Linked DNA regions of Oryctolagus cuniculus. Each later gene encodes a partner of the first gene's protein in a complex. Links are inferred from orthologs where the notes say so. Each region holds a gene or a part of one and is shown on either strand. Other genes may lie near its edges.

Region 1 (3,699 bases):
AGACAGAGACAAGAGAGATCACACTCCTTGTGTATAGGAAGCCACCAAACTATTAATATAAGTAGTTTGATCAGGAGGGACAGCCAATCCAGGTAAAGTTAGAAGCTGAATTAGTCAAATGAGCCATCCACCGTGATCAGATTTTAGTATATGGAAAACACTTCATTTTTCCTGTACTGGTAAACCTACCCTCACCAGTCCTGACATCTCCCCTACAAATATCCAAATCATGCTGGTAACAGTGTGATTAGCATACGCGCTGACGTGTTCCTGGACTGCTTACTGTGCCACAGTGAACTTAACTTCTGCTTTGCAGCTTCTGTGTTATCAGAAATTCCGTAGGAATCTGAGTATATTCGAGCTTTCCACTTTTGGCTTTTTTTTTTTTTTTTTTAATACACAGGTTCCTTTTCTCTGACCAAAACATATTCAATAAAAAGGGAAAATGACAGTTTACAAAAATAATAAAGATAAAAGAACACAATCTCTCACCTCCCTGGTCACATTTCTAACCCCTCACATAAACCAACTCTTCTCTCCACGTTTAAATTTTGACTGCGTGTTGGCCAATTTTCCATGTATGGCTCAAAACCTGTTACTGTCTCCACTTGAATAGGCTAGGAAGTGAGCTCTGGAACAGGGGGACTGAGGGGGCACCCCAGTTCTTGCTCAGATGGAAGGAGGAATCTATTGTTCCCAACCCGTGTGGGTGTGACTCACGGAAAATGACAAGTACTTGCTCTAGGCGGTTAGTGTTTCAAGGGAAAATCATCCCCAGAGAGAGAAACCTTGAAGGATTACAGTATCCCAACGGCTGGTGACTTCCAGCCAGCCCCATGGCTACTTTTTTGCCTTTTCAAAATATAAACAAAACCAAACCCTGCAAGCACCCAGCAGCTGGCTATGGGTATTAGGGGGAGGGGGGACCGGTCCTGCAGCCCAGCTAGGGTGTCAGAGCTGGGCTTGTTTTTCTGGGGCGCGGGGTGTCCGTTTTTGATGAACCCACCGAGTTGTTTACGTCTGACGTCTTCGGAGGCCCGGCTTCTTGGGCGTCTGCTCCACAGAGCCGGCGTTCGGGGAACCGTCGGAACCGTTTTCTTCTGTTCTGTTGGCTCTTTTGTTTTGAGGGGAAGAATCTAAAGGCAAGAGGAGATTATTTAAAGGACACACACACACACACAATCTTCAGTAAAAGAAACAATGGCCGGCACAAGTTGGCCCAGTGGCCAGGGGGATGAAAACCCACCGCCTCCACGCACGGTCCTGGACGGGGCGGCCCCCAGGAAGGTGGTCTGCACCACACAGAAATGGGGCCCCCGCACCTTCCTCTACCCTGACCCGGTGTGTGTGTGTGGGGGGGGGTGTTGGAGGCCGCTGATCAACATCCCGACCTTGTCACCTACCCAGGGGTAGGAAGGAAAGGCGCTGTTTTCAACCTGGGCAAAACGATCAGATCCTACAATCTCCCGGCTTCTGCCTTTATAAACAGACCAGCAGCCTCCCGGGTAACATTCAAAAACCCGAGATCAATAAAAAAGTTCGTTCCCTCCACCCCCCACCCGCGCCCCGAGCTCTCCCATCAGAATAGGCTGGAGTTAAAGAGCCGCAAGCAGGCAGAGCGGGAGCGCGCACCGACGGACCGACGGACTGACGGAGGACAGAGGCGCCTTTCGGCTCCGGGAGGGTCTTTACCGTCTGTGGCAGGTCGCTTCCTCATCCCCGCGCACTGCTCGGCCAAGGCCGTGGGGCCGTCGGACTGCTCAGTCTTTGGGTCCCCCAGGTGCGTGTCCTCGGAGCTGGCCTGGGACGCGGCCACCGGCGCCGCGGGGCGGACCCCGCCGGTGTCCTGGCTTTCCTGCGCCGGCACCTTGCAGGCGCCCTTGGGCGGCCGCGGGGGTCTGTAATAGAACTCGGGCAAGCTGCCCTTATCCACCTCCTGCCATTCGTACTTGCCCTCCAGGGGCTTGTGATTCTGGAAGTCGAAATTCCACTTGCGCTGGCTCGCCTCCTCCATGTCTCTGCAGTGCTTCTCCAGGTCCCGGGTCAGCTCTTCGTGATTCACCGGGCCGAAGAGGTTTCTGCAGGCGGAGGGCTTGGGGTGCTCCGCCTGCCTGGCGTCCGTGCGCTCCAGGCTTGGGCTCCCGTTGGACACGCGCACGTTGGACATCTCGCCCCGTACCGGGTCTGGACCCCGCCGCCTCTTCTCTGGCGCGCGCTCTCCGCAAAACAAAACCGAACGCAGCCCAACGCTCCGACGCTGCGGAGCCCCGCGAATGCGCTCAGAGCCCGGGGAGATGGACCCAGACCAGTCGCCGCCCGCGCTCCTGGGGGCGCGCAGGGTGCGGGAGCCGAGCGGGGACGCCCCGGCCGCGCAGCCCAGGCCGCCGCCGCCGCTGCCGATCAGGAGTGCGGGCGCGCAGGAGGGCGGGGAGGGGAGGGGAGGAGCGGGGAGGGGTGACCCGGCCGGTCCGAGTCCAGGCCGGAGCGAGTCCGCGGGTCTCCGCAAGCAGCCGCTCTCCAAACCTTGCGCCGACGGAGCCGCGCCGCGGGGAGAGAGAGTGGAGAGAAGGGAGGGGGCGTAAAACACCCCGAAAAGACGAGCCCCCTTTTTTTAGTGGCCCAATATGGCGGTGGAAGGGAGGCTGACGAAGAAGAAGATGATTGACACGGCGAGTCTATTTAAACAGAGGAGGAGATCCATTGGTCGCGGCGCCGGGAGCCGCCCCGCCGAGGCTGGCGAGCGCGGCCTTAAGGTGGCCCCGGCGCGGGGGCCGGCGCCCGCCCGCGTCCCCGAGCGCCGCCTGCAGACGGGGGCTGCGCGGCTGCCAGCAAACCTGCTGCGCCGGCCGCGGAGAAATTAAAAAGGCGACGGGCCCCGAAGAGCCAAACGGCCGGCCGCGGCGCTAGGGAGGGGCCTGGGCGGCGGGCCGGGCGGGGCCGCCAGGGTCTAGGACGCGCAGCCGCCCCCAAGCGCCGACCTCCCGGCTCCTCGCCAGGGCAACCACGGGCCCGGAGCCCAGGGGCCCCGAGGGTCGCCCCCGCGCCTCGTTCTGAGGCCCGCCGCCCAGCTGGTTCTGCTGGCGCCCGCCAAGCCGGGGGTGGGGGTGGGGGTAAGAGCCCTGCCCTTCCCTTCCCCATCCCCCACCCCCCACCTCACCCCAGCCCAGCTCGGCTCTCCCCCGCAGCTCCCACTTCGCGGGCAGGCCCCCTGCCCGGGTGCCTTCGCTGGGGCTGTAGAGGGTGAGACCAGTGGTGAGCTCACCCCTCACCACTAAGTCCCAGAGCAGGCAGGGAAGGGGCTCGGGGAAGCGAGCCAGGGCAGACGACTTTCTCTAAAGTAGCCGGAAGTGGACGCAGCGTTTAGAACGCGCTTGGAACCCAAGTTCTCCCTCAATAGAAAGGAGAAAGGACCTCGGGATGGACAACCCCCGTCTGGCCTCGCCAGCCCCTACGTGCACTTTGTTGCTGTCCCTAAACCCGGCTTTTAAAAACCGAGGTTGCAGCCCCCAAGTGCAGGGAGGGACGGGTGTGGAGAACTGTTCCTATTTCTTCCACCTGGGCCCAGCCCCTTGCTTCTCCCGCGGGATTCGCTGCAGCACCCGACTCGGAGCTGTATTTGGATGAAGGCTGAACTCTCTGAACGACGTTCAGCTGCGTGCTTTTAGATGCCTGGGTGAAAACACTCCAAGTCCACGTGAT
Region 2 (2,527 bases), on another chromosome or scaffold:
CGGCGCCGTGCCTCTGCCCCAGGTCGTGCACCCTTCACTCGCTCTCGAGGGTGGGGTGCTCCGTGCCGCTCGCTCCGCGCAGCACCCCGCGGCCTCACCTCACACCTGAGGCACCCGCTCCCCTAGCCCGAGGGAGGCGCCTCAGTGCTGCCTCTGCTCTCCGCCCCTCCCGGGACCAGACCAGTGTGGGGCCACCCGGAGCGGGGAGAGGCCCCCGCCTCGAACCTGGCTGCGCCCCCGCAAGGTCTCGCCCGCGGGCCGCTGGGCCAGCCGCGGGGGAAATCGGGGCCTGTGCAAAGCCCACTCCCACCCATCTCCCAGCCCAGCGCCAATAACTGCAGAAGACCGGAGGACTGAGTGTCACGGGGAGTTTATTGAGCCGAGCCGGTCACCGCCGGCAGACAGACGCTTTCCCTCTCGCTCACTCACAGTCACACGCGCACCCCAGCTCCCGCCTCTGCCGCCCGGCGCCGCGCTCAGCCGCAGGGGCAGGAGGGAGGCGAGGCGGGAGGGGAAGGGGTGCGGAGAGCAGGGTGGGGGGGCGGCCAGGGGCTGGGAGCGCCCCGCGGCTTGCAGGGAGAGCGAGACCCCCGGGCGGCCTCGGCTCAGCGGCTCCCTTCTCCAGGGAGCCTTTGGGAGCCGGGGCGGCGCAGCGAGGGGGAGAAGGGGGGCGCCTCCCACCCCGTAGTAGTCCTCTCCGCGGGGCGTCGGGGACCGGAGGGGGCAGGGCGGCGGCGGGCGGCTCAGCTCTGCGGCTCCTCGGGAGCCTCCCCGCCCTCTTCGCCGGCGTTGTCGGCTGTCCAGAGCGTCAGGTTGTCTCGCAGCAGCTGCATGATGAGGGTGCTGTCCTTGTAGGAGTCCTCGCTGAGGGTGTGCAGGTCGGCCATGGCCTCGTCGAAAGTGGTCTTGGCCAGCGTGATGGCCTCCTCGGGGCTGTTGGCGATCTCGTAGTGGAAGACAGAAAAGTTCAGGGCCAGGCCCAGGCGGATGGGGTTGGTGGGCGGCATCTCCTTCTTGCTGATGTCCATGGCCTCCTGGTAGGCGGAGCGGGCCGAGTCGATGATGCGCTTCTTGTCGTCGCCGGTGGCCACCTCGGCCAGGTAGCGGTAGTAGTCGCCCTTCATCTTGAGGTAGAAGACGCGGCTCTCGGCCTCGCCTGCCTCCTTGATGAGGTGGGAGTCCAGCAGCCCCAGCACGGCGTCGCACACGCCGCGGAGCTCCTTCTCCACCCTCTCCCGGTACTCGCGCACCTCCGGGCCCTTCTCCTCCGAGCCCTCCTCCGTGCTCTTCTGCTCGATGCTGGACAGGACCCTCCAGGCCGCCCTCTGGCCGCCCACCACGTTCTTGTAGGCCACCGAGAGCAGGTTTCGCTCTTCACAGGAGAGCTCCTCGCCCTTCTCCACCGCGCCCTTCATGAAGGCCGCCATGTCCTCGTAGCGCTCAGCCTGCTCGGCCAGCTTGGCCTTCTGGATCAGACTGGCTCTCTCCATGGCTCTGGGGACAGAGAGACGGGCGGCGGGCGAGCTGGCTGCCTGGGGACCAAGGCTGGACTCTGTGCCTCTGCTGCTCTCAACCTGCCTTTTGGCTGGGTGGCTTGGCCTAGGCAAGGGTGGGGAGGGGCGGGGGGGCGGGACTGGGGCCCAGGACCTGCCTCCCTGTCTTCTCCCCACACCCTTTCCGGCTCTTCCTTAAAGGTAAAAGGGCCGGGATGTGGGGGTGAGTCATTGGAACAGTCAGCAGGAGAAATCTGGGCGTGGGCCCCACCTGTGCGGGCACCTTGCTGGGCTCCAGGCTGCCCCCTCCTGTCCAGCACCCGCGTTAGGAAGCTGCCAGGAGGTAAGGACGGCTTCAGCCACCTGGCAGCTTCGGCTTTGGCATAGCCTGTGGGCTCAGGTGGGTGCAGGAAGATGGGGCTGCTAATCCGGCCAGGTGCACTGCCCCCCCCCTTCAGGCGAGGTAACCCAAGCGCTTCCCTAGTCCTCACTGGGTGCAGTCCCCACCGTGACTGTGAGGTGTGCAGCCCTGACGTGGTGTGGGAGCCTCTTCACTCTCAGGCTGTGAGACTTGCTCAGGGCCACACAGCTGCCAAGTCCCTGCAGCTCTCTCCTGCACCCAGCTTCCTTGGGCTTTTCTCCTATGGGCTCTGCATGCCAGGTCACCTGCCCCCTCTGACCGGGGAGCTCCAGACTTTTAGAAGTGAGGCCAGGCTTCTTCCTGAGTCTACTGGGAGACAATTCCAGCCCCAGGGCCTCAGCCATGCAGGGTCCCCTCCGAGCTCCCAAATGCTCCCAGAAGGGTGGCAGCTATCAGGGTGCTACTTAACGAAGTGTTTAACGAGCGGCCTCCGAGGCTCCAGCCGGGCCTGCGTAATTAGTCACCCAGTAGGTTCGTCGGACACCTTCCCCTTCACAGCACAATTTTCCCTTTCAAGTCGGTGGCCTGTTGCCACTTGTTGGAGGACTTCCCATGAGGCTCTCCAGGCCGGGTCAGCTGCCCCCTCCACGCCGCCTGCCATCACAGAGCAGCA
Region 3 (2,619 bases), on another chromosome or scaffold:
GACGGAACTCCCTGCTAATGTGCCTGGAATGTACAGAAGATAGCCCAAGTGCTTCAACCCCCGCTACCCACGTAGGAGAGCCCAGAAGTTCCAGACTTTGGCTTCAGCCTGTCCCAGCCCCTGCATTGCCATCATCTTGGGAGTGAACCAGCAGCTGGAAGATCTGTTTCTGCCCCTCCCCCTTTCTTCCATTCTTCCTTTAAAACAAGCAAAACCTTAAAAACAAGTGTTATTAGCTGAGAGTACTTGACTTTCACATTAATCACTGAAATTGAAATATTTCATAAATAAGTTACCTGTGGAATTTTAAAAGGATAAGCATGTAAATGGTTACTTCAAGAAATTCATGGAAAATGCACACCATGAATTATGCATAGATCAACATTTTTTGCATCAAAATAAAATCCTTGAATCTCATATCCCATGAACTTTTGAAGTGCCCTCATATGTAGCACCTTTTCAAAGTGCACTGTAATCCATCAGTATGACAAGCATACAAAGTATATGGGTCAACAGGATTATCTCAGGCTCCCTTTAGAAGGGTCTATTCAGAGGCTGTTGAGCACAGGGCAAACCACACTGAATGCTAGCTGATTTTAACCACACTGTTAAGGATAAAAGGATACAACTCAGCACTGACTTTTATAAAAATGTGTTTTATTTTAATACAAGTCTATAAAAGTAGAAATCACATACAAAAATACAGATTACTCTGACATGTTGGCAAACTAGCTTATGGCTGGACTTGAGTTTGAAGTATAGGCACTGTTACTGGGGGCATCTGGAAGTCAACGTCCAACCAGATCCTGTCACCAGCCCTTGTCACTAATCTGTAAACAATAATTTCAAGTAGTATTTAGCACTTTTGAACTACTAAGAAATTGAAGCATACTCATTTCCTGTGTAGCACTACTTTAAAATGTTCTTCCTTAGGTCTGAGCAGATAAGGGCACTTCATACTACTATTTCTAACATTTAAAAAGCTGGATTTAAAAAAGTGAACAGAAATGATGGTTTTTGGCACTTCCATTGCATTTTTCACATATGGGGAGGTCATCTGTTAATTTTTTGTGATTTTCAAGAAGCAGAATTTGATCTTTTTGTTTCTTTGTACCTGTTTTTCAATTTTTGAAATCACTGATTTTTTTTTTTCCAACACCTGAGTCTGAACTCTTACGCAGGTGCAAGTAGTGCTTACTGCTCTGAAACGGTATGGCACGTTTCTGCTCTAATGTGTATTTCTGATTTACAGGAACATGCAGTTCTTACAGAACTTTAGGTCCAATAACCTTATAAAGTAGATAGTTTCAAACAAATACTACAAAGGACCATTAGAAAAAAAGACAAAATACGTGATTCCAGAGTAATATAAAAATAATCTCAAGAACCTCAACACTAAAGGAAAATAGCAGACAACTTCAGAATTCTTCCATTGAGCTTTTCAAGAATAGAGACTGGTTAATACCGTTCTAAAAGCAAGTCATTTTAAAAGCAGAACAACTCATATTCACATAATTTGATTACCAAGTTAGAAAACCACAATTATATTTCCTTACCTAATTTAGTATTCTGGGAATTTAGTATCTTAACATTAAAGGATACTTCAAATTAATCTGATGTAGAAAATGTCTCTTGAACTTTCAAATCCTATATTGGTTCTGCATTTCTGGTGAGTTCTATTTTGTTTTTTAAGTTTTAAGGTGAATTACATGGGGCTTTTTTTTTTTTGTATTAACCTAATTTCAAATCTAAAGGCTGAGTTGAAATGCATTCTTCTTCTTTTTTTTTAATCCCTAAAAGAGATTGCCTCAAAGGCTACCATCCCGATTCTGGTCAGCCCATAATACAATTAGCTTATTGTTCTTTCAAGCTACATCTTATAAAGCAATGCTGAAAAATTAAATAGATAAAAAGTTTACCATGTAGACTATAAAAACTGCCAATAGTGATTTTAAAACTTGCTTCTAAATAGACTAACACAAGGGCACTTGAAGAGGTGGCTCAAATTTTGCTCTTTTCAGGTATCTTGAAATTATAGGCTCATTTTCCTAACATTTGAAAAGGCCTACAACTTAGGCTCAGAAGAGCACAGCACTAACAGAAGCTTCTATAGTCTTTTCAGGAAAGCAGTACTTCCCATTTCCCTCTCAAATCGCTAATATACTTGCAGAATGAAGCAAAGGGAAAGCTAAGACTAAAACTAGCTGAGTGCCCCTGCGATTGGGCGTCCTTCCTATTTTCCCTGTTCCAAAGAAGATACTGTATCCTGCAATAAATACTTCATAGACAACTGGGTTTCTGCAGTGTCAGTCGGCATTTGATGCCCCATATCTCCTGGTTCTTTTTGTTGCCAATAGTTGGCCTGGCAATGGTGGTAAAATGGGAGCAATTAATCTGTAGATGAGGAAGGGCTTCCCTTAGCAGTTGGAGGGTTCCGTCTGGCACGATTCCGAAAACTTGTAGTGTTTTTAGCGTGGGAATTTCTCCAAGTTCACTGGAAAGGAAGAAAGAGAAGTTCAGAGTAGCAGTATCTAAGGAGCCACTCTGACTAAACATGTGACCCAATTTTTACAATTTGTATCACAAAGTGCAACTTGAAACTATTTGCAATAAATGACC

What was found.
Region 2: the proteins of CDKN1B (region 1) and SFN are in contact, whole or in part, in a crystal structure (PDB 7ORG), measured with the Homo sapiens proteins. The link is inferred for Oryctolagus cuniculus from reciprocal best matches to the Homo sapiens genes CDKN1B and SFN. Residues at the interface, in NP_004055.1 of Homo sapiens: Arg194, Arg195, Arg196, Gln197, Thr198; in NP_006133.1 of Homo sapiens: Lys49, Arg56, Arg60, Arg129, Tyr130, Glu133, Leu174, Asn175, Val178, Glu182, Leu222, Asp225, Asn226, Leu229, Trp230.
Region 3: the proteins of CDKN1B (region 1) and SKP2 are in contact, whole or in part, in a crystal structure (PDB 2AST), measured with the Homo sapiens proteins. The link is inferred for Oryctolagus cuniculus from reciprocal best matches to the Homo sapiens genes CDKN1B and SKP2. Residues at the interface, in NP_004055.1 of Homo sapiens: Ala181, Gly182, Ser183, Glu185; in NP_005974.2 of Homo sapiens: Arg294, Asp319, Val321, Arg344, Tyr346, Asp347, Gly369.

The regions. Positions count from the first base shown.
Region 1 is NC_091440.1:110,363,410-110,367,108, reverse strand, and holds the start of CDKN1B (cyclin-dependent kinase inhibitor 1B), read right to left. Parts: upstream 2,813-3,699; 5' UTR 2,168-2,812; coding exon 1,693-2,167; intron 1,137-1,692; coding exon 1,015-1,136; 3' UTR 1,007-1,014; intron 1-1,006. UniProt on the Homo sapiens protein: Important regulator of cell cycle progression. Inhibits the kinase activity of CDK2 bound to cyclin A, but has little inhibitory activity on CDK2 bound to SPDYA. Involved in G1 arrest. Potent inhibitor of cyclin E- and cyclin A-CDK2 complexes.
Region 2 is NC_091438.1:144,640,835-144,643,361, forward strand, and holds SFN (14-3-3 protein sigma), read right to left. Parts: upstream 1,594-2,527; 5' UTR 1,491-1,593; coding exon 744-1,490; 3' UTR 609-743; downstream 1-608. UniProt on the Homo sapiens protein: Adapter protein implicated in the regulation of a large spectrum of both general and specialized signaling pathways. Binds to a large number of partners, usually by recognition of a phosphoserine or phosphothreonine motif.
Region 3 is NC_091445.1:61,746,864-61,749,482, reverse strand, and holds the end of SKP2 (S-phase kinase-associated protein 2), read right to left. Parts: exon of another isoform or gene 2,495-2,619; coding exon 2,281-2,494; 3' UTR 637-2,280; downstream 1-636. UniProt on the Homo sapiens protein: Substrate recognition component of a SCF (SKP1-CUL1-F-box protein) E3 ubiquitin-protein ligase complex which mediates the ubiquitination and subsequent proteasomal degradation of target proteins involved in cell cycle progression, signal transduction and transcription.